Linked DNA regions of Neurospora crassa OR74A. The protein of the gene in region 2 interacts with the protein of the main gene of each other region in a pairwise test. Links are inferred from orthologs where the notes say so. Each region holds a gene or a part of one and is shown on either strand. Other genes may lie near its edges.

The links.
Region 1: the proteins of NCU02978 (region 2) and NCU03219 interact in binary tests that used the Saccharomyces cerevisiae proteins (3 or more experiments, as listed by UniProt). The link is inferred for Neurospora crassa OR74A from reciprocal best matches to the Saccharomyces cerevisiae genes SLA1 and KEX2.
Region 3: the proteins of NCU02978 (region 2) and NCU04724 interact in binary tests that used the Saccharomyces cerevisiae proteins (3 or more experiments, as listed by UniProt). The link is inferred for Neurospora crassa OR74A from reciprocal best matches to the Saccharomyces cerevisiae genes SLA1 and LSB5.
Region 4: the proteins of NCU02978 (region 2) and NCU04790 interact in a two-hybrid assay, tested with the Saccharomyces cerevisiae proteins (2 studies listed by BioGRID). The link is inferred for Neurospora crassa OR74A from reciprocal best matches to the Saccharomyces cerevisiae genes SLA1 and SUP35.
Region 5: the proteins of NCU02978 (region 2) and pph-3 interact in a two-hybrid assay, tested with the Saccharomyces cerevisiae proteins (3 studies listed by BioGRID). The link is inferred for Neurospora crassa OR74A from reciprocal best matches to the Saccharomyces cerevisiae genes SLA1 and GLC7.
Region 6: the proteins of NCU02978 (region 2) and NCU02781 interact in a protein complementation assay, tested with the Saccharomyces cerevisiae proteins (2 studies listed by BioGRID). The link is inferred for Neurospora crassa OR74A from reciprocal best matches to the Saccharomyces cerevisiae genes SLA1 and ARC40.
Region 7: the proteins of NCU02978 (region 2) and NCU06171 interact in binary tests that used the Saccharomyces cerevisiae proteins (3 or more experiments, as listed by UniProt). The link is inferred for Neurospora crassa OR74A from reciprocal best matches to the Saccharomyces cerevisiae genes SLA1 and PAN1.

Annotation. Positions count from the first base shown.
Region 1 is NC_026501.1:4,941,484-4,945,616, reverse strand, and holds the start of NCU03219 (Kex2), read left to right. Parts: upstream 1-1,333; 5' UTR 1,334-1,511; exon of another isoform or gene 1,512-1,561; 5' UTR 1,562-1,907; coding exon 1,908-3,631; intron 3,632-3,691; coding exon 3,692-4,133.
Region 2 is NC_026501.1:8,519,965-8,524,180, reverse strand, and holds the start of NCU02978 (cytoskeleton assembly control protein SLA1p), read right to left. Parts: upstream 2,801-4,216; coding exon 2,603-2,800; intron 2,462-2,602; coding exon 1,018-2,461; intron 956-1,017; coding exon 1-955. UniProt on the Saccharomyces cerevisiae protein: Component of the PAN1 actin cytoskeleton-regulatory complex required for the internalization of endosomes during actin-coupled endocytosis. The complex links the site of endocytosis to the cell membrane-associated actin cytoskeleton.
Region 3 is NC_026506.1:549,716-553,975, forward strand, and holds NCU04724 (VHS domain-containing protein), read left to right. Parts: upstream 1-1,460; 5' UTR 1,461-2,128; coding exon 2,129-2,143; intron 2,144-2,205; coding exon 2,206-2,598; intron 2,599-2,656; coding exon 2,657-3,109; intron 3,110-3,161; coding exon 3,162-3,318; intron 3,319-3,371; coding exon 3,372-3,688; 3' UTR 3,689-4,044; downstream 4,045-4,260. Other genes in the region: NCU04723 (hypothetical protein), read right to left, coding at 1-731, 792-829; NCU04725 (N-acetylglucosamine-6-phosphate deacetylase), read right to left, coding at 4,155-4,260. UniProt on the Saccharomyces cerevisiae protein: Essential for the organization of the actin cytoskeleton, fluid phase endocytosis and vesicle trafficking, together with YSC84.
Region 4 is NC_026506.1:822,350-826,643, forward strand, and holds the start of NCU04790 (eukaryotic peptide chain release factor GTP-binding subunit), read left to right. Parts: upstream 1-1,494; 5' UTR 1,495-1,607; intron 1,608-1,688; 5' UTR 1,689-1,917; coding exon 1,918-2,248; intron 2,249-2,309; coding exon 2,310-4,114; intron 4,115-4,169; coding exon 4,170-4,226; 3' UTR 4,227-4,294. Other genes in the region: NCU04789 (RanGTP-binding protein), read right to left, coding at 1-564, 644-678, 774-953. UniProt on the Saccharomyces cerevisiae protein: GTPase component of the eRF1-eRF3-GTP ternary complex, a ternary complex that mediates translation termination in response to the termination codons UAA, UAG and UGA.
Region 5 is NC_026503.1:2,384,687-2,388,725, reverse strand, and holds the start of pph-3 (serine/threonine-protein phosphatase PP1), read left to right. Parts: upstream 1-1,239; 5' UTR 1,240-2,202; intron 2,203-2,350; 5' UTR 2,351-2,508; coding exon 2,509-2,688; intron 2,689-2,791; coding exon 2,792-3,193; intron 3,194-3,273; coding exon 3,274-3,573; intron 3,574-3,635; coding exon 3,636-3,664; intron 3,665-3,753; coding exon 3,754-3,769; 3' UTR 3,770-4,039.
Region 6 is NC_026501.1:9,216,037-9,219,718, forward strand, and holds NCU02781 (hypothetical protein), read right to left. Parts: upstream 2,273-3,682; 5' UTR 2,049-2,272; coding exon 1,826-2,048; intron 1,743-1,825; coding exon 900-1,742; intron 833-899; coding exon 792-832; 3' UTR 501-791; downstream 1-500. Other genes in the region: NCU02782 (hypothetical protein), read right to left, coding at 1-56; NCU02780 (U2 small nuclear ribonucleoprotein B), read left to right, coding at 2,841-3,125, 3,190-3,501; NCU02779 (hypothetical protein), read right to left, coding at 3,680-3,682. UniProt on the Saccharomyces cerevisiae protein: Functions as a component of the Arp2/3 complex which is involved in regulation of actin polymerization and together with an activating nucleation-promoting factor (NPF) mediates the formation of branched actin networks.
Region 7 is NC_026503.1:1,749,685-1,753,835, forward strand, and holds the start of NCU06171 (actin cytoskeleton-regulatory complex protein pan-1), read left to right. Parts: upstream 1-1,351; 5' UTR 1,352-1,552; coding exon 1,553-4,151.

The DNA.
Region 1 (4,133 bases), about 3.6 Mb from region 2:
CCGAAAGGAACTTGCTATGCTGCTCGACTGCCCGCACAAAGACATCGTTGAGCATCTAACGACGGAACGTGGCCCTACAGAGTCAGCACTGACCTGTACAGTGCCCGGAGTGTTGTGGTATGTAATCAGGTTGTCCCAGGAGAGTGGTGGCCGGGGTACTTGTCTTATACATGACGCTTAAGAGCCGTACCACTGGGTAACCAGAGGTACCTACCTTTACGGCTCCATGATACTGGTACAAGCGCCGCGTTGCTTAGTAGAAGATTGCTTGAGGTTACTAGAGGCAAAACAAAGAAGTAGGTAGGTAGGTAGGTATAGTGGTTCACATCGATACAGCCCACCATCTTGCCTTCAGTCTCCCTTTACACGACTTTGAGTTGTCTGTGGTTGTTTGGCCGGGTTCGGTGACCTGCCCGTTGGCGTTGGCGTAAAGCCTCTTCGATTCTTTGACAATGCCGAACGAGTACCAAGGGAGCAACACCATCATAGAAGCCATTCATCCTTATTGAGGTGAGAAAGCGGAAAGGCCCAACCCATACGCAAACGCCTCGTTTCACAAACATGTTTCGAAGCCACGTTGTTTTCCGCAGGCAACGTGAAGACCGTCCACCTCTACCGCCATGCATGATATGGGAGGCGTCAATGGAAATGCTGTCGTCGTTACCATCTGTGTCGGAACCAAAGGCTGAGATATGCACAGTATACTAAATTTTCCCCAAGATACCATCGATGATAGTGGGAATTTTTGAGCATAGATGATCTTCAAAGTTTCGTCTTGTCTCGCATGGCGAATACGGCTGGAATGTCGGTTGAAGACAAGACGAAACCCGGAAGATGGGACGTTTGACAGTGCACTAGGTACGGAACATTACCGAAACCCCATCCCTGAGCAGCGCCTTGAACATGGAAAACTGAGCAAAGGTAAATCTCGGTGATCGTTCCAACAAGACAAGGTATGATTGGTATAAAGACGGTTCTATGGTGTCGAGGGGTGTAAATCAACATCTTGTAACGGCGCAGAATACATGTGGAATGCTGACACTGCTCCTGCCCCATGGGGGCCCGGGCCCCCCTTACAAGGGGCCCCTAGAGTCTCGGCCCCACCAGAACTGCCGCCTCATTCAGGGTCCATACCTCTTGAGGTAGGTAGGTTCCGTCCTTCTCTCTGCCCCTGGAGGTGTTGTTTCTCGCTTGGCAGCTGCCCTGTACCTGCCTACCTACCTAGGTACCAACCGGTTCCAGCCTGTTGCCCGGGCCACTTGCGCAGCCCGTCTGTGTGCATTACCCCTGCGCTGTGGCGGGATGGTTTTCAACTAGGCCACATCGCCAGATTGCCGAACTGAACTTCCAACAAGTGAATTCTCCATCTTCAAATCAACCCATCTTCCTAATCTTTTTTGTGGTGAGACGGGGAAACTGTGCCGCCTTTTTCATTCCCAGCCTATACAGGATTGCTCAGTGGGCCTATCTGATTCTCGACCGCTGCTACGGTCGCGACTGGGCTTCGTCCTGTATGCTGTGCCCTCTCCCTCCTTGATTCCGTTGCTTATGCAATAAATAGCTGTCTGACCAGTTCCGCGCGAAGCCTCCATGTCCGTTCGACAGGGACGAGCTTTCGATTCGACCTTCCAGTCTCTTCTCAGTCGCCGGGAGCCGATGCCGTCTTCGTAACATCATTCTGATTATTGGCCAACACCGTTGCTATCCCTGGCGCTACTATTCTGCCATATTTGAGATCGAATAAGACACTGTTCTGCTTGTCTCTATATACCTACACGAGCCGGTCGTACAAATTCGTCTTTGGTGCTCGACACCGCAACCAACTGAAAACACTTACACAACCTTGCGCATCCCCTGCGAAGTAGACCGACCTTGGGCCGCTCCAGATCATTTACCCGAACTCAGCTATGAAGCTCTCGGCTATCGCAACGCCGCTGGGCTTGGCCGCTCTGGCTATAGCGTCCAATGTCCTCCCCCGCGACTTCGATTCGAACGATTACTATGTTCTTCATCTCGATGCCCGAACGTCACCTACTGAAGTTGCCAGGAGCCTAGGATTGTCTCATGAGGGGCCCCTTGGTGAACTCCAGGATCACCATCTCTTTGTTGGGAGGAAAGCCGAGCACGATATCGTCAAGAGAGAATTGACGGAGCGCCGGCGCCGAAAACGATCATTAGGCGACGAGCCCCATGTTCTGGATAGTGTTCTCTTTTCAGAGAAGCAAATTTTGCGGAAACCTTGGGAGAAGCGCATGGTCCCCCGACCAGTAGGACCCTCTAGAAGGGGTCTCTTTTCCGATCAAGAGGTTGACTGGGCAGTCAAGAAGCAAAACGAAGTTATCGGGAATTTGGGCATCAGAGATCCCATATTCAAGGAGCAGTGGCATCTTTTCAACACTGTCCAGACTGGGCACGACGTGAATGTTACCGGGCTTTGGCTCGAAGGCGTCACTGGAAAAAACGCCACCGTCGCCATTGTCGACGATGGCTTGGATATGGAAACCGATGACTTGAAAGACAACTACTATGCCCAAGGGTCATGGGACTTTAACGACAAGGGTCCTGATCCAAAGCCCCGATTAAGCGACGATAAACACGGAACTCGCTGTGCCGGTGAAGTTTCGGCCGGGAAGAACAAAGCCTGCGGTGTGGGAGTAGCATATGACTCCAGGATTGCCGGCCTGCGTATCTTGTCAAAGCTGATATCTGACGCTGATGAAGCCGTTGCTATGAACTACGACTTTCAGCACAATCAGATTTATTCGTGCTCCTGGGGACCCCCTGATGACGGGCAGAGTATGGATGCTCCCGGAATTCTCATCAAGAGGGCTATGCTCAATGCCGTCCAGAAGGGCCGTGGTGGGCTGGGCTCAATCTATGTCTTTGCCAGCGGCAATGGTGCAGGAAACGGAGATAATTGCAATTTCGATGGCTACACCAACAGCATCTACAGCATCACCGTCGGAGCCGTTGACAGAAACGGCGACCATCCCTATTACTCTGAATCGTGTTCCGCGAATCTGGTCGTGACATACTCCAGCGGCGGTGGTGATTCGATCCACACGACTGACGTTGGGAATGCTTGTTCTGATACTCACGGTGGTACCTCAGCTGCCGCTCCGCTCGCAGCTGGTATCTTTGCTCTTGTTCTGCAGGTTCGCCCAGATCTCTCATGGAGAGATATGCAGTATCTTACCGTGAACACTGCTGTTCCTATCAACCTTGACAGCGGCGAGTGGCAGACGACTGCTATTGGCAAACAATTCAGCCATATGTATGGCTACGGCAAACTCGACAGCTACGCCATTGTTCAGGCAGCCAAGACCTGGAAGAAGGTGAAGCCTCAGGCCTGGTTCTACTCTCCTTGGATCCATGTCAATAAAGCAATTCCCCAGGGAGACACGGGAGTTGCCGTCAGCTATGAAGTTACGCAGGCAATGCTGGATGAGGCCAACGTCGAGCGCCTGGAACATATTACGGTTACCATGAACATCATGCATACTAGACGAGGAGATCTTAGTGTTGATCTCATCAGCCCTAACAATCTGGTCAGCCATCTTTCGGTCAGCCGGAAGAACGATGAGGCCCGCGCTGGCTATGATGACTGGACATTCATGAGTGTCGTTCACTGGTAAGCGCACGCGTTACCGCAATTATCCGAGGTAATCTTTGCTAACCTGTACATAACCAGGGGTGAAACCGGCGTCGGTAACTGGACAATCATCGTTAAAGACACCCAAATTAACAGTCACGAGGGCGTCTTCACCGATTGGCATCTAAAGCTTTGGGGCGAGAGCAAGGACGCCTCCAAGGCCAAGGTACTCCCGATGCCGACCGAGGAAGACGACAACGACCACGCCGCCATCCCCACGACCACCCTCCCCGCTACCACGACCACCCTACCACCTCAACCCATCGCCACCGACACCAAGCCCAGCACCGTGTCCGACCATCCCAACCGCCCCGTCAACTCGAAACCAACTCCCACCGACGCCCCCAACCCCTCGCCCACCTCTGACGAACAAACCTCGGAGACCACCACTCCTGCAAACAGCACCTGGCTGCCCTCCTTCCTGCCCACATTCGGCAAGTCAGCCGCCACCATGGTCTGGGTCTACGGCTCCGCCGCCCTT
Region 2 (4,216 bases):
AAAGGCTGGGTAAGCAACGACAACTCCTGCATCGACTTGGTAAGAGCCGCCGGCGGAGGGGGGGCCGGCGCGTCAACCAGAGCTGGCGCAGCAGGGGCTGGAGCGGCAGCGGGTGCCGCCGCAGGAGCGGGAGCAACGGCTTGCGCAGCCGGCTCAGGGGTTTTCGTCTTGGTAGGCTTGACATCCCAAGCATCATCATCAAAGCCACTGGAAGGCTTCGAGGCAGACGGTGTTGGCGTAGCCGCAGCCGTAGGAGATGATGACTTGCCACTACCAGCACCCGAGTCCTTAGAGAAAGCGTTGGGATCAACGGTGTTGCTGACCTCGACGGGGGGCGCCGGCCTGCCCTTCTTCGTGTTGTTGCGGAGCGCACCTCCTGGCCCAGAGAAGAGTCCTCCCTCGCCCTCTTCGCCTTTCTTGTTCCGCATGTACTTGTTGTCCAGGTACCGCATGACCTTGATAATATCACCTTCACGCAAGCCCAAGTTCCTCAGCACAGTAGCATCAACATCTGGCAAGACACTTTCGTCGATAGCCTCCCGCAGGAAAGCTTGAGAATACCGTTCGCACAAACCAACCTGTATGTCACAACCAAGGAAGAAGTTAAACCAGTCGTAGTCGGGCTTCTTCGAGGAATCGATGGTGGCGCCAACCCGGGAGCTGGAACCACGGTCTCTTTCCCTGTCGCGCGTCGATCGACTAGACCTCGAAGACTCACCGGCGGATCGCTTGTTCCTAAGATCGGATAGGGGCTTGTCTTCGTCGAGAGATTCGCCAGTTACGCGCTCCACGTACTCGAGATCCTCAACTGACATCTTCGAGACGGGCACGGCGATCTGCACACCGTTCATCTTGTGGAGCCTGATCTTGCCATCCTTGACACCGAGGAACTGGGCCTCAACGCTGAAGGACTTGGATCGATCGGTCCATGTTCGCACTTTGGAAGGATCGGGCTCTGCGACAAACTGTCAGTATTCTGCATACTCTGAAAGAAAATCTGGACATGGGTGTACTTACTCGACTTGCTTGACGACTTGGAGCTGCTGTTCTGACCGGGTTCGCGCCTACTGCTTCGCTGTTTTCCTCTCCTGTTATCATCTGTGGCCGGCAAACTACTATTTCGTTCTTGCAATTGCAATCCTGGGCCTACCTCAGAGTTCCTCTTCTGCTTCTCCTTCTCTTCCTCGCGCTGGGCAGCCTTGATAGCCTCCTTGGTTAAGCGCGCCTCTTCCAGGCGGTTCTTCTCGACTTCCGACATGCCCACGGCAATACCGGTAACGGCCGTCTCCGGCTCTTCCCACACGCCGTTGATCTCAATGTAGCTGCTGGGAACCACACCCTCCTTGCCGTTCTTGACGCGACGCACCATCCACCACTCGTCACTCTTGGTATCGTCGAGAATAACTACCTCATCACCAACGCCGACAGTAACCTCGTCCTCACCCTGAGCCATAAAATCATACAGCACAGCACCCTTCTTCTTCTTGCCTCCGGCTCCCGCGGCAATGATCTCCTTGAGTCCCTCGAGGCGCACAGTTCCGGCCATGTCGCCCAGCATCGCGACGATCTCTTCAGCGGTGTCCTTGGCGCCCGCATGAAAGTCAACGCTCTTGCTTGGTCGTACGAGCTCCATAAACACGTGCTTGCCCTCCCGAGAGTAGTGTGTCATGCAATCGGCCCGCCATTCCTGCGATGGACCGTCGTGGGAATGTTCCGGCGCTATGAGAATCATTCCCGTCCTCAGGTTGATGCCCAGCGTGGTAGGCATCTTCTTCTTCTTGCCCATCACCGACGTCATCTCGTTGATGTTGTACATGTGGAAACCGCCAGGGGTAAGCGCGGCGGTCTGAGGAGGAGGAGCCTGGGAGGTTCGCGGGCTAATGCCATAGTCGTCGGTGTCGTGGGCTGCTGACTGAGCGGGCGGCGGCACCGGTCTGTAGGATTTTTGCTCCGGAGCAATTTGCGAATCGCCCCGCGGGCGGCTCGGAAGCGGCGGGGACCTTACCTCATTTTCGTAATCTTCCGAAGCGTATGACTGTCGCTGGGGCTGGGGAACACTGATAGGCGCTGGAGGTTGGAAAGAAGAGCGGTTGGCCATAACTCCGGCGATGGCGGCGGCAGCAGGGTTGGAAGCGGCGACAGGGGTGCTTGGCTCGGAGGGCACACTCCTGGCGGGCAGGGGCGGGCTGGCTACATCGACGCTGACGCTGGGTGTCCTCTGCGGAAGAGGAGGAGGGGGGGCAGTCGCTTCTTCCTCCTCCTCGACCTGGCCAGCCTGGCCATCGCCCAACTCGATGTAGTTGGCGGGCGCGAAGCCGTAGTCGCCATCGTGGCCAACAAGGATCCAATCGGGGTCGGAAGTGTCGAAGACTGAGAGCTGCGCATCCTCGGGGAAGGAGAGCTCTTCGTCGGTCTGACGCGTGTACTCGTAGAGCGCGCGAGCGTATGATACGGGTTTCGCCTGGCGTCATGGTGTGCGCGGTCAGTTCAAGTGATCCATCTGAATGCCAAGGCCAGCCAGCTTGCTATCCTCCAAGCAGGTACAAGTGCCCAGATGACACTGCACGCAATCCAGATCTAGACCTCGGACCACATTACATACCTCCTCAATGTAGTTGTTGGGGATCAAGCCGACGGGCTCGTCATCGTCGGCAGCATTGGCCTTCTTCTTCGCCTTCCACCAATCGTCCTCCTGACTCTTTTCCAACACATAGAGAATGTCGCCCTCGGAGATTGTCAACTCGCCCTCGCCCTGGGGCGTGTAATCGTAAATGGCCCTATAGACGCCGAGGAAGCCCATGGCTGCTGCGGGAAATCTGCTCGTATGATGCCCTTTGGATGGCAGCCGACATGAACCGACGCAAGGGAGTTGCTGTTGCGAAGAAAGGAATTGGGGAAAACGAAAGGCGCCGTGGTGCGAATGGTGGCTGGTGGTGTGGTATCACAAGTCTTGGTTCTGCCGGGGAAGGGGGGGTGTGTGTGTGTCCGGTAGGAAATGGAATCAAGGAGCGAGCGGCGGCGGCGGCGGCGGCAGCAGCGTGTGAGAGCGGGTGACGCTGGGTTGGTGACGGGTGACGGGGGTGCGGCGCTGCGGCTGCCGGGCAGAAGGTGAACGAGGATGGAAGCTCTTCTAGAGTGTACGGGTGCTCCTGAAGCAAGGGGTAGCCGCTGAAGCAAGCACTGTAGGTATGCCCGCTTGCGCGTAGGATTGCGGCCGGCCAAGGCCCTCCTGTATGGTACCTACGGATAGGTAGCCTGTAATTTCGAGCGAGGGAACGTCGGGAAGATGTCGACGACAGCGAGCACGCGCGGCTGCGGTGACCCTGCGAGGAATTTGACCTTTATCGTGATCAAGAGTCTGGAGTTGCGGTCGAAATGGTCGAGCCAAGGGAGACGTTGGAAATTACTCTATGTCCAAGTCGTGGACCCAAGTGCTCGTTTAAAGGAGCCGGTCCGGGGGGTGTGTGTTCGGGGGGGTGGGGGGGTTCGCTGAATTTGGGGGAATTTAGACGATGCAACGAAGCGGTCGCGAAGACACCGCGATCTTCATGGATGCTATCACCAAAATGTATATTTATGTAATTGCAATGTCCACGGAAAATCCATTCGAGATCAAATCAAGCGTAGGTAGGAAGTGCACTATTGACCCGAGGACAAATGAACACCTTGTTCGTACCTTACAATTTGAAACCCCAAGAACAGGTACGTAACCTCCCAGCGCTGGAGGTGTATGTACCTAGCTTTTATTTGGAATAACCGCAGCGCATTTCGAGGGTTCAGGTCAACCCCAATGACCGACCAACAACATCGAAGCAAGGTACTGGCGCAGGAACGAAGGATTCTTGTCCAAATTGAACCCGAAAGAGTGAGATCGTGCAGGAGCAAGCACAGCCCAGCCGCATCTCGAGCGCTGCTGGTACGGCATAGCACCTGAATAAGTACCTCGAAAGCGCAACTTTCACTTTGTTACACAGTATCTATTGATTGGCCGTAATTGTGGCTTAATTGTGACAGTCAACTTGGGCTCTTCTTCACGCCCAACTTTCCCATCAATCAATCAAGAAACAGCAGCCAGCTGGTCCCGACCGGCAAACCCGGGCATTCATCAGCGATCTACTGTAACCGCACGTGTAGATAGCGTCATATCCCGGGTTTTCCCTCTTGACATTTGGGCGCTTGGTGGATCGTTCATTTCAGGTCGGGGTCCGCTGGGCAT
Region 3 (4,260 bases), on a different chromosome or scaffold from region 2:
TCCGTAGACTTGGGTCAAATATTTCAGGCGTAGAGCTCCCCTCCACAGCTTTGATGACACTGGATGGCGGAATCTGTGCGAATGGGTCCGGCAAGGAATCCAACAGCTCCGCCATCGCTTCTTCGTCTGACGATGCGACCGAGTACTCGTCAGCAGTCGCTGGATTGCTGTCACCGGACGGAACCTCATGCTCTCTAGCCAGGAGAGAATCACACGTAGGAACACTGTGGTATGTGAAGATGTCCTGTTCGCCTGCGTAGGTTGTCGGATTGCCACCTGTGAGCGAGTCAAAGATCATGGCTCTGCTAAAAAAGGAAGCATCCGTTTCTTCACAGTCTTCTCTGCCAGCCCGTGGGTTATTGGCACAAAGCTCTAAGAGCTCGGATTTGGAGTATGGGGGCGAATAGTAGCCATCCTGGTCGGAGGTCATCGTGTCCACAAGCATATGCTCTTGGGTATCGCCTTCTTCCCATGACGAATATCCAACCGCGACATTGTCGTCGTAATCGTAACCATGATACTCTGAGAAGGTTTCGAAAGATGGGAATACATATCCCCTTCTCTTGCCCTTTGGGCAGTCCCCATCAGTGTTTCGGCGTTTCAGGGAAGCTGAAGTAGCCGGATGGTAAAGCTCCGATGGAAGTGCTCCAGGCCCGTCCACGCCGTTGTTGACCGGTGCGGCATCATTGGCCGGAAGGGTTGTGGTAGTTGAGAAGGAGGACACATCACAACTGATAATAAGAACAAGTTAGCATTGCAGGCCAAAACATGAAGCGGGAGAACGGGCTTACGGAGCAGCGGAAGTTGCCGCACTGGAAGGGTCCATCATATTCAGGACCACACTCGGGTCATCTGTGTCTGTGACTGACTGGTCTTGGAGGGACAATGTCCGATTGGGTACAAAAAATCAAGACTAACGATACTGATGGAAGTATAGGCGCGTCACGGTATTGTCGAGGTCGAAGCCATTGGGATCCGATTGGCCTTTGGAAATTGAGACCGGGTGGTGGGAACCGGAAACTGCCTCTGGTGTTGACACGACTGGACTGAAAAGGACATGATGGTAGGAGAGGCCGGACGAGAGTCGAAGACGGAGGACTTGCGAAGACTGGACAACGAAGTGGAAATGTTTGAAATTTTCTCACTGTCCTTGAAAGCTGGCAAGTGCGAGTCGTCGAGGCGTTGATGCCCGCCTGATGATGATGATGGATGTACTTGTATACCTCTATGTATAAGTCGTACTTTCCTATTCTGGACGTCTTCAGCGGGCCCTTGAGGGCAGCTGGTGGGCGGGCGGGCAGCCGGACGGGAGTGAGCCAGGCAGGGAGGGTGACGGCGCCAAGTAATCTGGCCCCGCTTCGTAGCGAACCGAAGCCCCACCATTCGGCACCGGAGCCGAGATTTGTAGGGAGCTTGAGGCCTGAAAGCTAAACGCCAAGGACCGGCGACCGGGGCATTGTCAAGGAAGCATGGCTCCCTCTTTTTCGCTCCTTTATTGAAGGCGCATTGGGTGAGGTTGCTCACGAAAGAGCAATGTTCTGTTGGTGACGATGCGGTGATTTTGATTTTACTCATTTGTTTGAAGGGTTGTCGAAAGAAACACTGGGCGCGACGGAATCCGGTTTCACGGCGTCACACGAAATTCAAGCTCCCTCGTATCGATACCCCGCCATTGTTCGCTCCTGCGCCCGCCATCAGCCGCCCCTCGTCAAAGCTTCAGTCAGAGCATACACAGCATCACATCACTGCTGCGCAGGCACGACTGCTGCTTGCTGCCGTTTACCTTGACGCGCTTTCCTCGACAGATTGCGCTTCTTCTTAACGACAACGAAGAGCTTCCACCGACACTTTCCATCAATAAGTCGTACTAGGGACTTTTCCTGGTCAGGCCATTGTTAGCGACCGACTGCGATTGCGACTGCGACTGCGACTGCGACTGCGGCCATCTGACGATAACTGAACAACTTACCCAAAGTCGACGCGACTGTTTGGCTTGGCTCCCTTTCTTCAACCATACCATCCACCACCACTGCACAGCTTTCTCGACTTCTATCCCCGAGCTTTATTCTTTGCTATCTTCTACGACGAAGCAACCACGGCAATCAGCTTAGCGCTACTCCACGATACAATGTTCTCTTCCTCGGTAAACGACCAAAGGTTCCCTCAATAGCTGCGTCTCGTACATTCGCTAACAGCCCAGAACAGAAGCCCTACACGGCTGTTACGGTCGACATCGAACGTTTGACGAGTGAGACATTCGCCGAAGACGATCTCAGCGGCATCCCCGAGCTTATCGAAGCTATCAACCTCCAGGCTTCGGGCCCAACCGAGGCTGCCCGTGCCATTCGCAAGAAACTCAAATATGGAAACCTGCACCGCCAGCTCCGAGCCTTGACCATCCTCGATGCCCTGATTCAAAATGGGAATCCCCGCTTCCAGCGCTCCTTTGCGGATGAACCCCTTCTTGAGCGCTTGCGCTTCTGTGGCACCGCCGAGCTGTCGGACCCCTTGGTGAAGAAGAAGTGCTCCGAATTGTTTCGCAACTGGACTGTCTACAACCGCACTCACGGCATGGAGCGCGTCGCGAACCTCTACAGAGTAAGCTCCCTTACAGTCTACACTTTGACGTCTACCTGTCACGCTCACACCACTCCAGGAACTTCCCCGTCGCAAGCAAGTCGTTACCCAAGAAAAGTCCAAGGTACTTAAGGAGACCGAGAACCCTTTTGGCGAAGACGAGGAGGAAGAACGCCAGCCATCAGCAAGCACCTCAACTGCCCAGGCCAACACATCAACCACACACCCATCTTCCTCATCATCGCATAGGCCGACAGTGTCCAGTTCCAGTGGCCATTCTCACTCCTTCAGTCGATCCGGCAAGGACAAGTCAAAGAAGAGCAGCAGCAAATCCAAGAAGCACAAGCCATTTAACCTCGAAGCCGAAAAGGATCAGATGACCAGGACTATCGCCGAGGCGTCCATTGCCTCCACGAACCTGATGAACACTTTGCAATCCATCAATCGAGAGAAGGAGCGCATTTCGGAGAACTCAACTGCAGTGGAGCGTTTCGAAAAGTGCAAAATGCTTAGAAGGAACATCTTGAGATATGTACGTGACAGTGTCTCTTGACCATAGCCGAACGGTCTGCTAACAGACGCAGATTCAACACGTCGAATCTGAACAATGGCTAGGAGGCCTTCTACATGCCAACGATGAACTCGTCCAAGCGCTCATGACTTTTGAGCAGCTGGACCGCTCTATTGACGCGGACAGCGACTCGGATGATGATCTGGCTGAGCAAGCACATCTTTATCGGAGTATGTTCCCCTCTCCTTTTTGTTGTTCTCCCTCCCCTGCTAACAATTTCCAGTGGCAACTGAAAAAGCTGCCAAAGCCAAAGAATCCGGTGGTAGCGTACCCGGCAGTCCCCGCGCCCCCGTTGCGGGCATGGCTGGGCTCAGCATCACCAACACCCCTGCGAGCCCACCACCAATGCCTCCTCGTCCTGCGCCACCTCCCCGACCGTCTGCGGCTTCGAAACCCTCAATGTTGAAGCCGCCTACAAGAAGGGTGGAACCGTCTGATGACGAGGATAGTGAGGTGGATGAGGACGAGAACGATCCGTTTGCTGACCGGAATGCTGTCTCGACCCCTAAGGTGGAGAGTGACGAGCCCAAGTGGTCGTAGGCTGGGTGGACGTGGATAGCATGGCGGGGATGAAGTGATGATAATACGACATGGATACGAATTGAGTTGCTACTTGCTTACTGGATAGCCATTTGCCTGTCTAGGAAATATTTTTAGCGACAGCGAGGGACGATAGTAATAGTACGGAGGAGTAGATCGAGCAGGAAAGCGAAACACTTCGCAGCATTATCCTCAGTTGTTTTACCAAGTTTAGCGGTTCAGGGGAGAGGAATGAGTTATACCTTTTTGAGTTCTGGATGGCCAGTTATGAGTGGAGAGCGAGTGGTGTTTTCTTTTCAAGTCATGCCTTCGTGGACGGGAACCATCATTGCCATTCATCGTGCATAGCCAAATGGCGAGGCAACAGACATTCAGCACTCTACTTTCTGCTCCCTCCCTTGCAAAGAACCAAAGCTACATGACCAAGAAAGCATTCAACATCTATCAAGCCCCAACTCCCTCCCCATTATGATTTCGAACTCACCAAAGCAGTCCCATCCCTAACAAACACCCTCTCCCCAAATTTCCAAACCTCCTCAACAACCAACTGCTTTCTGCTTATCTTCCCGCTT
Region 4 (4,294 bases), on a different chromosome or scaffold from region 2:
AGCCGTACACGAGCCTTGTGCACCACCTCTTGCCAGATGGGTTTCCGTTCACCTTCGCCAACACCATATGATGGCTCCCTGGTCCATGTCTTGCCTCCAGTGCTAGGAGTGGCAGGAACGGAACTGGCACTTTTCAGCCTGGAATGGCCGCGGAAGAGCATGTAAAGAGATAGTGTGAAAGAAGGCCCGATGGGGACTGCTCGGTTAGGGTTGTTCACAAAGTGTGAGTCCCCGAATGACAAGAAGGCACTCGCCTGCATCAGTCTCGACGGAGAGATGCCAGCGTTCACTGTCGTGTTCATCCTCTCTCCCGAGGCCGTGATGGCGAGTTGGATCAGAGGGATCTCTCTGTCTATGCGGGCCAGTAGTTCCTTCATCTCCTTGATAATGGTTAGCAGCTCAATATGATGAGCTTCCGACATGCGGGCTTTCTTGCCATCGGAGCGGGAGCTCTCTTCGGCAGTAGCAGCATCGTTTAGGCGCTTCCCGAGAGAAATGATGTCTCGATGGAGAGACTTGGCAAGAGGCACAGCAGCCTCGAGGAAGACATTGCCACGGCCAGATCTTGGACACAGCGTTAGTCACATTCTTGTAAGGGCCAAGGACAAGGTAAGTAGTAAGAAGAGAGGTAGGTTGGGCATACTTGAACTCGATCAGGTCGATAGCTGGTGAAACAATCTGAAGTGGGGAATATTCGTATTAGCAAGGGGTGTCATGTCTTTGTTGGAAGGGGCTTTAGCATTGTTGGGTTCGGAATAATAATGGCCACTCACCTTGATCTTACTATCCAGAAGCTTCTGCAGCTTCTTGAGCTCGGTGTACACTCCTTTGTCGTCGACCGTCTTGAGCAGCCTCGAGCACTGGTTGACGGCGTAGGTGGAAGTGATTGCGATGCCTGATCTGATGGCGTAGTTGACCGCATGAGACCCGAGCTTGGCCAACAGTGCGTCCATGATTTGCTCAAGTTAAGAATGTGTGGATGGTTATTTGATTGGTACGGTGTATATCATATTCAGTTCCTGTCCTATTTGATAGTTTTATGTACGGAATCAGGTAGGTAGAGGTACCTTACTGTAATGCTCTCCGGCAGCAAGTGAACTTGAACGAAGCGATGCCTAATTGTTAGTGTTCGTCCCGTCCGTTTGACGTTCAGGTCCTCAAGAGTGACGTTGGTTGGCGGGTCCAGGCTTCTTTTCGTCCGGGTCTCTTTTGGGTTCACGGCCCGGCCTGGGACAGTGCATGTGCCAAGAGAGACCAGGGGTTTAGTCTGTTGCAGAGGTTCGCACTGTGATCCTGCTGATCCCATTCCACTGAATGCTGGCTTTGGGCGCACTTCTTCGGCGAGTGACTCCCCGAGTCGCACAGTGTGTGGCGGCAGTTCCGTCCTAGCGCACACAGTAGACAGCGGGACAAAAAATTGTCATGTACCCCGCCACCACTCACTGCACGCCCTCCCCAATCAACGGTGGGGCCCTACAGCCCTTGCCAGCGTTAGGTTTCTTGATCCAAATCTCTCTTCGACTTGTTCCCTCGCTCGCTACGTAGTTGGACGCGCCGACTGGACTGGTCACTCAGAGTACTACAACCAAGTACAGGTCGTCGTCAGGGTAAGTACCTACGGTGTATAGAGGCAGTTGATATAGGGCTGTCTGTGGTCGCATTAGCTTACCATCATTTCTGTCTTCTAGTATAAATCATCCATCTCCATCTCCTGACTTCAGGATTCCCTCCTCGCGCAAGGGACCTACCTTATTTATACACACCCACGTCGCTACCCAGCCGACAGAGTCGGGATTCATCTTTGCTGACCATCAGCTTTATTATCACCACTCTCCAGCCCACGAGCGAGACCCCGAAACCAGACACATTTCTACCGGCACCTTCTCGAGAATCACACGCGACCGCTATCTATCCAACATGTCCGGAAACGTTCAGAACAACTGGGAGGAGGCTGCCGACCAGGATGAGCGCCTGGCGCGCCAGACCCAGCAACAGATGAACATCAACGCTGGTACCTTCCGCCCCGGTGCCGCTGCCTTCACCCCCGGCGCCCCCTCCTTCACCCCCGGCCAGTTCGCCGCTCCCGGCTTCACTCCCCAGTACCAGCAGCAATATTACGGCGGCGCCCAGCAGGGCTACGGCGGTGGCTACCCCCAGTACGGCCAGCAGGGCTACGGACAGTACAACAACCAGCAGCAGCAGGGCTATGGCGCTGTTTACGGCCAGCAGGGATATAACCAGGGCTACGGTAGGCCGCCGCTTGTTCGTACAGTCTTTGATCGAGGAATCTAACTGATAGACGTGGATAGCAGGCCAACAACAACAACAACAACAACAACAACAATACGGTGGTTACCAGCAGAACCAGGGCTACCAGCAGAGGCAACAGCAGAACCGCGATGCGCCCAAGCCTGCCCCTCAGATCGTCAAGAGGCCAGAGCAGCCCGCTGCCCAGGCGCAACCAAAGGCCGACGCCCCCAAGACCGCTGCCGCTCCCGTCAAGGTTCTCAGCGTTGGAGGCGATGCTCCTGCCAAGGTTTTGAGCATCGGGGGTGATGCGCCCAAGCCCGCGGCCAAGGTTCTCTCCATCTCCGGCACTGCTCCCGCCAAGGAGGAGCCCAAGAAGGAGGCTGCCAAGAAGGAGGGTACCGCTGAGGCCGCCGCCAAGGTTACTGCTACCAAGGCTGTGCAAAAGACCGAGTCTGCTGCTGCTAGCGGCAGGACTTCGCCCGCTCCCTCTTCGGGCCGTGCCAGCCCGTCGGCCGCCAAGTCCGGCAACAAGGTTTCGCGCGACGTCGATGCTGTTGAGAAGGATATTCAGTCCGCCGATGTTGACGAGGATACCCTCAAGGAAATCTACGGCAAGGAGCACATGAACATCATCTTCATCGGTCACGTCGATGCCGGCAAGTCTACCCTCGGTGGTGCCATTCTCTACGTCACCGGCATGGTCGACCAGCGTACACTTGACAAGTACAAGAGGGAGGCTAAGGATATGGGTCGTGAGACTTGGTACCTCTCGTGGGCTCTTGACTTGACCAACGAGGAGCGTGCCAAGGGCAAGACCGTCGAGGTTGGTCGTGGTTTCTTCGAGACCGACAAGCGCAAGTACTCCATTCTCGATGCCCCCGGCCACAAGACCTATGTCCCCAACATGATTGGTGGTGCTTCCCAGGCCGATGTCGGTATCCTCGTCATCTCCGCCCGTAAGGGTGAGTACGAGACCGGTTTCGAGAAGGGCGGTCAGACCCGTGAGCACGCCATGTTGGCCAAGACCCAGGGTGTCAACAAGCTCGTCGTTGTCATCAACAAGATGGACGACCCTACCGTCAACTGGTCCGAGGAGCGCTACAAGGAGTGCACCACCAAGCTTGCCCAGTTCTTGAAGGGTACTGGTTACAACCTGAAGACGGATGTCTTCTTCATGCCCGTCGCTGCCCAGCAGACCATGGGTATCAAGGACCGCGTGCCCAAGGATCTTTGCCCCTGGTATGATGGCCCCTCGCTGCTTGAGTACCTCGACAACATGAGCTCTCTCGAGCGCAAGGTCAACGCCCCCTTTATGATGGCTGTTTCTGGCAAGTACCGTGATATGGGTACCATGATCGAGGGTAAGATCGAGGCCGGTGTGATCAAGAAGGGTATGAGCTTGATCATGATGCCTAACAAGCAGTCGATTGAAATCTCGGCCGTCTACGGCGAGACGGAAGATGAGGTTCCCGTTGCCCAGTGCGGTGAGCAAGTCCGTCTCCGTCTCCGTGGCATCGAAGAAGAAGAAATCATGCCCGGTTTCGTCCTTTGCTCGCCCAAGCGTCTTGTCCACAACGTCACCGCTTTCGAGGCTCAGATCCGTATTCTTGACCTCAAGAGCATTCTGACTGCCGGTTTCAACTGCGTGCTTCATGTTCACGCCGCCATCGAGGAGGTTACTTTCGCCGCTCTCCTCCACAAGCTTCAGAAGGGCACCAACAGGAAGTCCAAGCTTCCTCCTTCGCACGCCAAGAAGGGCGACAGCATCATTGCTCGTCTCGAGGTTACCGGTGGTGCCGGCTCCGTCTGCGTTGAACGGTTCGAGGACTACCCCCAGATGGGTCGTTTCACCCTCCGTGACCAGGTATGTTATTTCTTGTCTGTTGCTTGACGTGAAATTGGACTAACACATTTTGTAGGGTCAAACCATCGCTATTGGCAAGATCACCAAGCTCATTACCGATACCTCTGCTTAAATGGCCAAAAGAAGGTTGGTGTTCTCGGCGAATTTGAGCAAAAAAACTGCACCGCTCGAGTCAAAAAT
Region 5 (4,039 bases), on a different chromosome or scaffold from region 2:
GACCGCAGAGGACTACCTGGATCTCCAAGATGCCCAAGATTCTCGACAGCCTGACTGAGGCTTTGCGCATTTGCTGTCGAGCTCCCAGTCTCACTGATCTTGCGGATACACGTCGGCGGCTGAGTCGCTCGAATATTTTGCTCGTTGTTGACTGGATATCCGTTGCCTGTCGACCTGTCTTTATACTCCTTCGCTTCGAGCTGTTGTAATCATGCATACCGGGTGCTTGTGCCTGATCTAGGTGTAGGCCATGTAGCCAGGCTGCCCTGCCTATCATTGCGTTTGCGGAACCTGATGCTGATGGTGGGGGGAAACGAGCAAAGAGGACAAAGCCGGAATACCAATGCAAAGTAACAACAAGGCGACCAAGAAGGCATTCCCGTCTTTGCTATTGCCGTGTACATACCAGGTAAGGTGTCACACTCACAGTCCACTATCTCTACACAGGGAGGGGGAAGTTGGAGGGTTGGGAGAGATGGAAGTTCCAGGCGACACCCACCAACGGGATCGCAAGCGGCTTTTAGGCGAGCCAATCCCAGGCCTAGACCTGCCAAGGAGGGTCCGGTGTTCGGGACTCTTGCTAACAGAAGTGCTCGCAGTTGCGGGGGAAGGCAGCGCAGCTCCTACCCAGTCGCGTTAGTGAGCAACATGGACCGACCTATCATCATACCTGCTTCCCCAGAGGCGAGTGCATGCAATTTTTCTCGAGCCAAGTTGGAAGGGCCGCTTCACTGCAACTGGAAAGGGCACAAGGGCTCGGCCAGGATCTGACGGAGATTCAGAGCGGGCGCGAAACCTAGGTAGGTACCTACCTACCTGGCTGGCAACCTAGGTACCAACTACCTAACCTAGCTCACCCAATCTGAGCCTGTCCTTGTTTGGGTTATTTCAGCCGTAGGTAGGTATGTTTGAGTTTAAGTTGAGGGTTGTTCTGGCCTGCCATCGCGTCGGATGTTTCGAGTTTTTTTCGTTCCATGTCACTGAGTGCTGTCCTGTTCATTCCATCGATGTGGATGAGAGCCCAGTCGGCGGAAAAGATCACAACTGCACCGAAACCCGACCCGACCGGACGCCTGTTGTGGTTGTTGTAACGATAACCTGACTGGCAGGCACCGAGGTGACCTGACCTGGGCTTGAAAGAACGCGGACCTGGACCTGGACCTGCCTGCCTACCTCTACCTACTGCTCTCCACTGCTAGTAGGTAGTCTGGAAGCCCTGTGCGTTTCATTAGCTGCGTTGCGTGCGTGTAAATCTTGCTGCTCCATCGGCCCAGTAGCCCAATCCCTTCTCTGCGTCCCCGTCCAGTCCAGTCGCCAGTCTTCTCTACCTACCTACCTCTACCTAGCCCATCGCCCGGCCGGACCCCCCCCCCCCAGCAGCGGGCAGCCCAAGTGGAAGCGTCTGCGCTTGTCCGTCTCCTCCCAAAAGTCTCTAAGCAACCACCACCGACGTTGATTTTTTTCTCCCGACGCTTTCTATCCCAACCAAAACAGGGCGACGTCTTTAACCACAAAGAACGCGCATTTTCAACCCCACCCTGGCGATAGAAGTCCTATTATCATAGGCATCATCTCGCGGTATCTCGTCTTCTGGCCTCCGTCGCTCAATTAGACGCAGCTTTTTCCAGCGACCCTCCGACCGGCCCAGCGCTCTGTACTGCACCTCGCTGCAGCACTTTGCACTCTCCCGGGCAGTCCATCGACCAGTTTTTCCCGACCGTGGTTTTGGCAGTGGCAGTGACAGCCTCTCCCGCAGTCTCAGGACTACTTGAACTCCCCTTCTACACCCGACCTTTTCGAACCCAGATTTTCGACGACGACACGGCGTTTTGCCCCAGCCCCGTCCGCGCGACAAAAAAAAAAAAACACGTTACCTCACAAAGGACGATCAGAGACTTCTGGAGCCGTCTCCTTTTTCCATCATTGCTAACCCTCTTGTCGCCGCGTACTACCGGACCGATTTCTTCGCAATTCCGACGAGATTTGCTTGCGCTTGCTCTAGACCGTTCGCACCTCCGCCAAACCCAGTGACGATTTACTAAAACCAAAGCACAACATTCGGTATCCGAAAGAATACCTATTTCCAGAAAAAAAAAACACCAAAAAAATCACCGCTTGCTGTATTCCCAAGGAGAACGCGTTCGCCTCTCCAAAAAAAAAAAAACCCCCAACAATCGCTTCTTGCTGGGATCGCTTCTGAGCGTAAGTTGATCAACTGCCGTTACATTGCGGCTTCCCAGTCTCTGCCCAGCCGTCGCTCCTCCTTCATTTTCCCGCCATCGCGATCGCGTGCGGCAAACCCCAATCAGAATCTGCGTCGTCATTGGCAATGTCTAACGTCTTGAATTAGTCGTTTAGCTTTGCAGAAGTGCATCTACCCCAGTTTCCTACTCCTTACGCGTGCCGCTCTTTTAGACCCGTCCCATCCGACTAGCTGGGGTTTGTCGGTCGTTACCGTGACTTCGAAAACCTGTGCGCGGTATCTCTCCGGTTGGTGAGGATTTTGCAATGGCGGACCATACCGAAGTCGACCTCGACTCTATAATCGACCGCCTCTTGGAGGTGCGGGGCAGCCGGCCTGGTAAGCAGGTGCAGCTGCTGGAAGCCGAGATTCGCTATCTCTGCACCAAGGCCCGTGAAATCTTCATTTCCCAGCCCATCCTGCTTGAGCTCGAGGCTCCTATCAAGGTAAGCATTGTGTTCTTTCTATTATCCCTTTACATAGCCTCGGCATGCGCCATACTGCCCCTTCGGCAGTGTTCATAGCTGACGTCGTGCCCCACCTCCCTAGATTTGCGGCGATATCCACGGTCAATACTATGATCTCCTCCGCCTCTTCGAGTACGGTGGCTTCCCTCCTGAGGCCAACTACCTCTTCCTAGGTGACTACGTCGATCGTGGCAAGCAGTCCCTGGAGACCATCTGCCTGCTCCTCGCCTACAAGATCAAGTACCCCGAGAACTTCTTCATCCTTCGTGGCAACCACGAGTGCGCGTCCATCAACCGTATCTATGGTTTCTACGACGAGTGCAAGCGGAGGTACAACATCAAGCTTTGGAAGACCTTCACCGACTGCTTCAACTGCCTACCGATCGCTGCCATTATCGACGAGAAGATTTTCACTATGCACGGTGGTTTGAGCCCGGATCTGAACTCAATGGAGCAGATCCGCCGAGTCATGCGACCAACTGACGTACGTTACACCATTCATGCCCGGGCTTTCCGTTTGCTCAGGCTAGTTGCCGTAACATGAGACACTAACAATAGCGCCAGATTCCTGACTGCGGTCTTCTTTGCGATCTCCTGTGGTCGGATCCCGATAAGGACATTACTGGTTGGAGCGAAAACGATCGTGGTGTTTCCTTCACATTCGGCCCGGATGTCGTTTCTCGCTTCCTCCAAAAACACGACATGGATTTGATCTGCCGTGCTCACCAGGTTGTTGAGGACGGATATGAGTTCTTCTCGAAGCGCCAGCTCGTTACTTTGTTTAGTGCCCCCAACTACTGCGGCGAGTTCGACAACGCTGGTGCTATGATGAGCGTCGACGAAAGTTTGCTCTGCTCTTTCCAGGTATGTTTTTCTGACTTTGGCAAGCTCCGAGACCCTTGCACTCTTGCTAACCCCCTTTGCAGATTCTCAAGCCCGCAGAGAAGAAACAGAAGTACGTTCCCAGTCTCAGATGAAGCAATTCAAGACCCCCAAGAAGCACAAGTAAAGAATTTTCTTACGAACACACCCGTTTTCCTTTAGGTTCGGCCGCCGATAAACGTCTGATACTTTCGCCCGCCCGCAACGAACATGAGTATCTTACCGTCAGCTTGTCTACCGCCGCCATGTTTCCTGATCGCCAGGGCTCCCAGCCATCATCCCGTCTGCCGTCTGTTCCGACCACTTCTTTTGGGGAGGTCCTCGCCCCTCCTGCCGTGCCAACGAAACGAAAGCCACGTCTGCCCGTCCTGTCTCTCCATCCGTCCGGTCTCCACACAACTCGAGAGGGTAGGAAGGAAAGGGAATCTTTTTATATCTCGGGGGATGA
Region 6 (3,682 bases), about 700 kb from region 2:
AGAGGGTGTTGGGGGTGGTTGAATGGGTAGTAGTCGTAGGAACTGTTGTGGTCCATGGTTCAGTTTGTTGTTGTTTGGTTCTTCTGATCCCGCTGTTTCTTCTTCTAACCAGACAACGAAGTAGGCAGGCAGGGAAGATGGAGGCAAAGCGAGGTAAGTTGAGTTTGTTTGGATAGCTGAAAGGGACGGAGTGACGGACGGCTGATTACTTATGGTAAACTGCTTTTGAAGCTGAAGGTCTGGATGAGGAGCGAAAGGATATGGAATAAATAATCGACAGGGACAAAACAATGGTAGGTATGGACATGAATTGTGACATGCACTTCTCCTGCTGCCGGTTATTAGTTCTCTTATGATCCTTTTATGGAAGTTATCACGGCAAATCGGAATGTGTCCGGCAAGCCACAAGCGGAAGTCAATGAATTGCTTTGTATGTATTGAACCTGTATTTGTTCTTGACTGTGTGTCTGATTCACACATACATATCTTGCAAAATTGGCCGGGCGGTCATGACAAACGGATAGCTCACTGTGGAGAAGTGACATGATAAGTCTCTGTACAATGGGTGAATGGACAATCAATCACTTTGGCGGATACCGGGAAGCACGGATAGGGCAGAAATCAAAGACCGGGAAAGTTACCCGCTAAACTGACATTGATGGATCTTGACTTTGAATCTGATTCATTATCAGCCATTCACTCTTGTTCCATTAACATTAGATGTTACGCTTGCTTGCTTGGCTTTTCTGCTTCCCAATGTGTGCAGCAACCCTCTTTCATCGAGGGGAAATCTAGGTGTGCCAGATGACGACTCTGCCGTCAACACCGCTCGCTGTTGTGTCAAGTTAGCATCAATAATTCTTGAAACCACAGGTCATGTAAAAATGGGGAACACTCACAACTAAACTTGGTCACCCGTCCACCACTCTCCTCAAAGGGCCTCAACATAGTAACCGTATTCTGATGCACCGTCTTCAACATGGTATCATCCTTGCTGACCTTACCCTTCAGGTCCATCTGCTTGAACATGTTCAGCGCAGACTCCTCTCTGTCCTCGTCACCAAGACCCGGTCTTCCTCCGGCCTTGGCCTTCTCCAGCGTGCCGGCCAGCTGCCACCCCTGCTCGCCGCCTTGGAAGCGGAAAGCCTCGCAATCGTAACCCGCAGCAATGATCTCAGTCTCTCCGTTCCAGAAGAGGCTCATAAAGGGCAAAAGCTGCGTGTTGATGCTGATCACCGCCTTGGGCGGCTGCTCGGGCGCAGAGGGGTAGACGACGGTGATGGAGGAGTCATGCGCCGCAAACGCCAGAGCGTCGCCGCTCGGGCTGAAGGCAACAGAATGCACCCATCCGGCAGAGTTGTTCAGGAACTCGCCGCAGACCGTGTTGAAAGGCAATCTCTCGCCCCAGGGGCTCGGCTCGGGGCGCTGGTCGGTGCCCTTGATGAAGGCGGAAAAGACGCGGGCGTGGGCGTCGGTGGAGCCGGCAGCAAGAAGAACGCTGTTGGGGTGCCAGGCGACAGAGGTGATGGTGGATCGGATCGGCTTCTTCAGGTGCTTGGATACCCACCAGTCGTTTTCCTCCTCAAAGTAGCAGATGGCGATGACGCGGTCGCCGGAGCCGACGGCGAACTTGGCTTCCGAGGGAGACCAGCGGACGAAGGTGGCGGCGCGGGAAATACGGAGGAGCACGAGGGTGGGCTTGTAGCCGGTGGGGGAGGGTTCCCAGACGAGGGCGTTGCGGTCTGTGAGTTGGGGTTGGTTGTTAGTCTAGCTGACTGTGATGGTGGCATTATGGGGTGCCTGGGTTGCGAAAGGGGGGGCCTACCCTGAGAGCAGGTCACAATACGCCCGGTGTTGGGAGCAATGTCGACGCTGGTGACAAGCTTGTCATGGCCCTTGAGCTCATCCTTGAGCTTGAAGGCATTGCCGACTCTGCCGTAGAGCTCGACCTGGGTGTCGCGGGCAATGGCCAAGGTCTGGCGATCGGCCGAGAAGGAGTGGTCGGCGATGGGGTGGTGGAAGAGATGGTGGACCTCGGGAGCAGCCATTGTGGGTTGTTAGGTTGGTGTTGTGTAGAAATAAGGTATGCGATAGGAGTATAGCTCTCTACTACCGCGCTCGGAATCGGGGACGGTGATGACGGAGAGTGTGATCGAATGTCTTGGTTCGGTGGTGTCGGAGCCGGATGTTGTAATTGGAAAGGGGAAGCTGTGCCCGGGAACGGGAAGCGGGAGAGCTCCGTAACTACAGCGGGCTGGACGCCTGAAATGAGGTCAGACCGCCAGGCTCCAGGGGCACCGTTGCGGCAGCGTATGGTGGTGGGGTTGGCTGCGGGTGGGTGACGCCGCCAAGAGTGCCCTGCTGCCGGCCGGGGCTGACCCACCTGGAACTGGAACCTACTATGGTGAGATGGGTAAGTTAAACCCGTGGATCAGGTCGTCGACCACACAGTGCTCACGAAGCTCTGGCTGTGGTGGTCCGTGCAAGATACCTGACAAGGGGGTTTTACTTTTGCTCGCAACCGCAGTACCTCCAACAAGCTGCACCCACGCCCGTGGGGTTTGTGTACCGATTTCGATGGTTCGTAGGCTGGCTGGCCACTGTCTCCAATTTTTGGACCAGCATCTGAATTGTCGACATCGCATGCGCCGCCGCGACTTGAATTCATGATTGAACACTGAACATCATACACCCGAGCGACGACGACGACGACGACGAGACAATTGACGATATTAACCCCTACCACGAGGCGCCTACGATATACTGAAAATCTACGCGACAATTAACAACCTGCATTGGACAAACAACAACAGCATCAACTCCCGGATTCCTACGCGGCAATGGCTACGCGTATTGCTCCCCCCGCGGGCCTCCCCCAAAAGGTGGTCTCGAACCCGCCAAACCAGACTCTCTACGTCACGAACCTCCCCTCAGCTAAGATCCAGAAGGACGACCTCCGTACAGCACTATACATGCTCTTCTCCACCTACGGCCCCGTCCTCGATGTCGTCGCTCTCAAGACCATGAAGATGCGCGGGCAAGCACACATTGTCTACCGGGACATTCAGACAGCAACACAGGCCATGAGGTCACTTGACGGCATGGAGTTTTTGGGCCGCAAAATGGTAGGTCTTCTCGGGTTGAATATTTCAGCGGTAGCCCTTCACATGCTAACTTGGGTTTGCCTAGAAAATCACCTACGCCAAGGGCCGCTCCAACATCATCGCCAAACTCGACGGTACTCTCGTGCCACCCAAGGCCGCCGCCGCCGTGGCCCTCACCACCGTCCAACAGAGTATCTTTAGTGCCCCAGTACCAGGCGCCCCTACTACGAATACCGAGAGTCCAGCACCACAAGGTTCGCCAGCCAAGCCTCCCGGGACGGAGACAACCACACCGGCAGAGGAGAACCGGGGAACGAAGCGGCCACGGGAGGAGGAGGAAGAAGAGGAGGAGAGCGATTCGGACGTTGCTATGGAGGAAGACAGCGACGAGGACTGATGGGTGTCCACTATGGCATTTGCTTCTTGTTTAAGATACCAGCTCGCGGTGGGGAAGGATGACGAAAAATGAAGGCGCAATGAAGCGGATGGATGAAAAATTCGCCCTCTCGAAGGACAATGCAGAAGACGCACCGCTAGCTGCATGTACAACATACACCGCGCTACTCCCACTTCCTCTA
Region 7 (4,151 bases), on a different chromosome or scaffold from region 2:
CATTAGGTTAGGAAGCTTTGGGTATGGGGTCGGGTCATCTGACCACTCCGCAGCATCAGGGACCAGGAGGCGGGGGTACTGGCGTGGGGCGCATGTTGCCGCAACCCACAAATCTTTCGACGCTTTTGTGAAGCTTCTGATTGTTTGCCAGTTAAAAAGGAACAAACTCACTGGACGCCATCACGCCAGCTGTAGTGCTCCGGTTTTTGCCCGCATCAGCACCACTCAGGGACCACAGGCCCAATGAAAACTGTGATCGGCGACTCTGGACTTTTACACCATGTACACGATGTCCTGGTAGCTGGTGCGGCCATCAAAATGACACGCAAACGCTATCCATCGAAGCGATGATGTGACCGGCCTTGTCTCCACCGGGCTGGCTGGAGCTGGGAATAAAAGGAGTCATCCTCTGCAGCTCCAGGTCGGAATCCATGGCGATGAGGTGTGGTGAGGAGCCCGACTCCGTGCAGAAAGCCAGGACGACCATGCTATTTTTGCCCGTTGAACGGAGCGGCGGCGGGAGGGAACGCGCGGGGACCTCAATGCTTGTCTGGAAAATTTTGTGACCGAGCAGCCGATAGTCTGGGGAGCTCCATTCGGCCGCACAGGCCAGCCCCCGACGTTGCTCTCGGCCGATGGATTCGGGTCTTGGCAGCTAGGGGAGATTCGGCCTGGAGGCGTCGACGTTGAAGATGTCAAGTTGGCCCAAGCTTCTTTCAGTTCGTTTGAAGCTTCATTCCTTTATGTGGCCTGTGCTCAGGGGGAGCTGGAGAAAGCTGTCACGTGGCAGAGAGGAGGCCGAGCACGGATTATACATACTGCGTATGTAGCTAGGGTGGTCCAAGCACCCTACTAGTGAGCCCAGTCCGCCCGTTCCTGAAGTCTACCAACACTGACATGTACTTGGAAGCTTCGCTGTTGCTTCTTTGCCTGCCGTGAGCATGGAAAAGGTGGAGCAAAAGAGAAGCAATGGAGAGCATCCATTGGACCATATGGTATTCCAGCTCCATTTGCTCATTTTCCATGTTATTAGTTCCCGCTTCCAACTGCAGTGGCTCCAACCAAGGAACGGGGCGTGGTGGTCCAGTCCTTGGTGTTTACTATGAGTGACATCGATTCACCGCACTGATTGCCTGCCCGACGCTGCCTGGACACTTGACACTGACCCTGACCCTGACACACGCAACAACAACAACACCCGACCGCCGCCAGTGCTGTCGTCGTCGTCGTCGTCATCACACGAGCGCTTCCACGGCGCATCGCAGCCCATACTTGCCATTTGCATCTTGTCTATCTACACCATAATCACTACTCTAATTCAACTACTAGTCTCCCCCATTCCGTGACTGCCGACCAAGAGGAGCTTGCTGCCTCTCTTTCGCCAGTTGCCTCTCCGCTCCTTGAACCCCCTTTTCCCCTCGTCGTGTATCAGGTGTTGCTGCCTCCATTTCCGCAGCCCCAAGCCCCTCTCTTCCTCGTCCGATACTTCTAGACCCGACACGAGGGCCATCGAATTGCATTTAGTAATATACACGAGGAGGAACCGCCCGTCATGTACTCGAACTCGAATGCCTTCCTCGGGGGCGCCAACAGCCTTCGCCCCGGCCAGCAGCCGCAGCAGCAACAGCAACAATACGGCGCCCCGAGTCCGTTTGGCCAACAGGGCCCGATGCAGCCTCAGCCGACCGGGTTTGCGCCGCAGCCGACTGGGTTCGCTCCCCAACCTACCGGCTTTGGTCAACAACAGACCGGCTATGGTCAGCAACAACAGCAGCCGCTCCAGCAGCAGTTCACGGGATACCCGGGGTTGCAGGCCCCCCAGCAACAGCCTCAGCTTCAGCAACAGTTCACCGGTTTCCAACCCCAGGCTACTGGCTTCCAACCCCAGGTTACTGGCTTCCAGCCTCAGGCTACTGGCTTCCAGCCCCAAGCGCCCCAGCAGCAGCCGTTCCAGACCGGCATGCCTCCTGTCCCAGCGATTCCCCAGCAGTTCCAGCAACAGCAGTCGTTCCAGCAGCAGCAGCAGCAGCAGCAGCAGCCATCGATTCAGCAACCCCAGCCGACTGGGTTCCCATCCGTACAGATCCAAGCGCCGGCTCAACAGCCTGCCCCGACCGCCCAGGGTGGCATCGCCCCTCCTCCGCCCGTGAAGCCCCAGGCTACGGGCTTTTCTGAGATGGCCGCCTCTTTCCAGACGGCTGGGGGCAAGGGACGGAGGGCCGAGCAGAAGACCAACACCGTCAAGATCCCCAACATCCGCCTTTCTTTCATCACGGCGCATGACCAGGCCAGGTTCGAGACGCTTTTCAAGTCGGCTGTGGGAGAAGGACAGACTACCATGTCGGGTGAAAAGGCGAGAGATCTCCTTCTGCGGTCGAAGCTGGATGGGGACTCGCTATCACAAATCTGGACATTGGCGGATACCACAAGGTCTGGGCAGCTACACTTCCCCGAGTTTGCCCTGGCCATGTACCTTTGCAACCTCAAGATCACTGGCAAGGCACTTCCTAGCGTCCTACCTGATCACATCAAGAACGAGGTTTCGAGCATGGTGGACATCATCAACTTTAGTATCACCGACGATGCGGGCTCTAGCTCTGCCCCGGCATCTAACGCCCCCAGCTTTGCTACGCAGCAGAATACGGCGGCCGTTCCGACCATTCAACAGCCCCAGCCGCAGCCGTCAAACTCGGCGATTCTCCAGGCGCAGATGACTGGCTTTCCTGCTCAGCAAACTGGTTTCATGGGTCAGAACCAGGGCCTTCAACCCCAGCAGACTGGATTCCCGGGAATGAACCCCCAGCCAACTGGCTACGCCGGTCCTATGCCTCCCATGCCTCCCATGCCGACCGGATTTGGCTCAAATCTGTCGCCTAACGCTGGCCCTGGCGGCATGGTTGCTCCTCTCAACTCTCAGCCCACGGGAATGCCTGGACAATGGGGACTTGTTAATACGCCTGCCACCGGATTGCCTCTCATTGATGCGCTCCAGGCTCGCATGATGCCTCAACTGGGACGTGAACAGCGGAATTATACTACGGCCGGACTTCAAGGTAATGCCGTTATCCCCTGGGCCATCACCAAGGACGAGAAGACGAGGTACGATGCCCTGTTCCGGGCTTGGGATGGTCTGAACAAGGGTTTCATCGCTGGCGATGCTGCTATCGAGATCTTTGGTCAGAGTGGCTTGGACAAGCCTGATCTTGAGCGCATCTGGACCCTCGCCGACAATGGAAACAAGGGCCGCCTGGATTTGGATGAATTTGCGGTGGCTATGCATCTGATTTACCGCAAGCTTAACGGCTACCCTATTCCTAACCAGCTTCCTCCTGAGCTTGTTCCCCCTTCTGCGAGAAACCTCAGTGCGTCTATTGGTATGGTCAAAAACATGCTTCATCAGGAATCCGAGCTCCGCAAAAACACTGGGGCCTCGTTGCTGCCCCAGAAGACCGGCGTCAGCTATCTTAAAGGCCACTCTTTCAAGAACACTGGGGCTAACCGCAAGGATGCTACCGTGTTCAAGAACAACGATGAGGAGGTGGGGTATCGCTCCAGCGCGCGCCGTCGCGTGGGCACGTCTCCTCGTCCTGAATCTCCGGCGGCTAGTAACTCCGGTGATGACCTGACTATTGAGCAGCTTCGCAAGAAGATCAAGGAGAAGCAGGTACTTCTTGATGCCATGGATTTCAACGATGAGAAGAACATGGAGGAAGACGACATTCTTGACAGACGCGACCGCCGCGAGGCCGATGAACTATACCGCCGTATCCGGAGAATCCAGGAGGACATTGACAATCATCCAGATGCCCAGCTGATGAGCGCCGACTCTGATGCCGAGAGACGCGCACTTAAGCGCCAGCTGCAGCAGCTTACTGACAGAATCCCAGAGCTTGCGTCCCAGGTTCGGAAGACTGAGAAGGCCATTGCTGACGCCAGACTTGAGCTCTTCCGTCTCAAGGATGCCAAGGCTCATCCTAACAGCGCCGCCGCCATTGTCGGTACTGGCCCGGGTGGTATGGTCACCGAGTCCGACAGAATCAAGGCCCGTGCGAAGGCTATGATGCAGCAGCGGACAGCTGCCTTGATGGGCAAGAAGATCGATATCGGTGATGATGATGCCGATGGCCCCAAGCGCTTGGAAGAGGAGAACA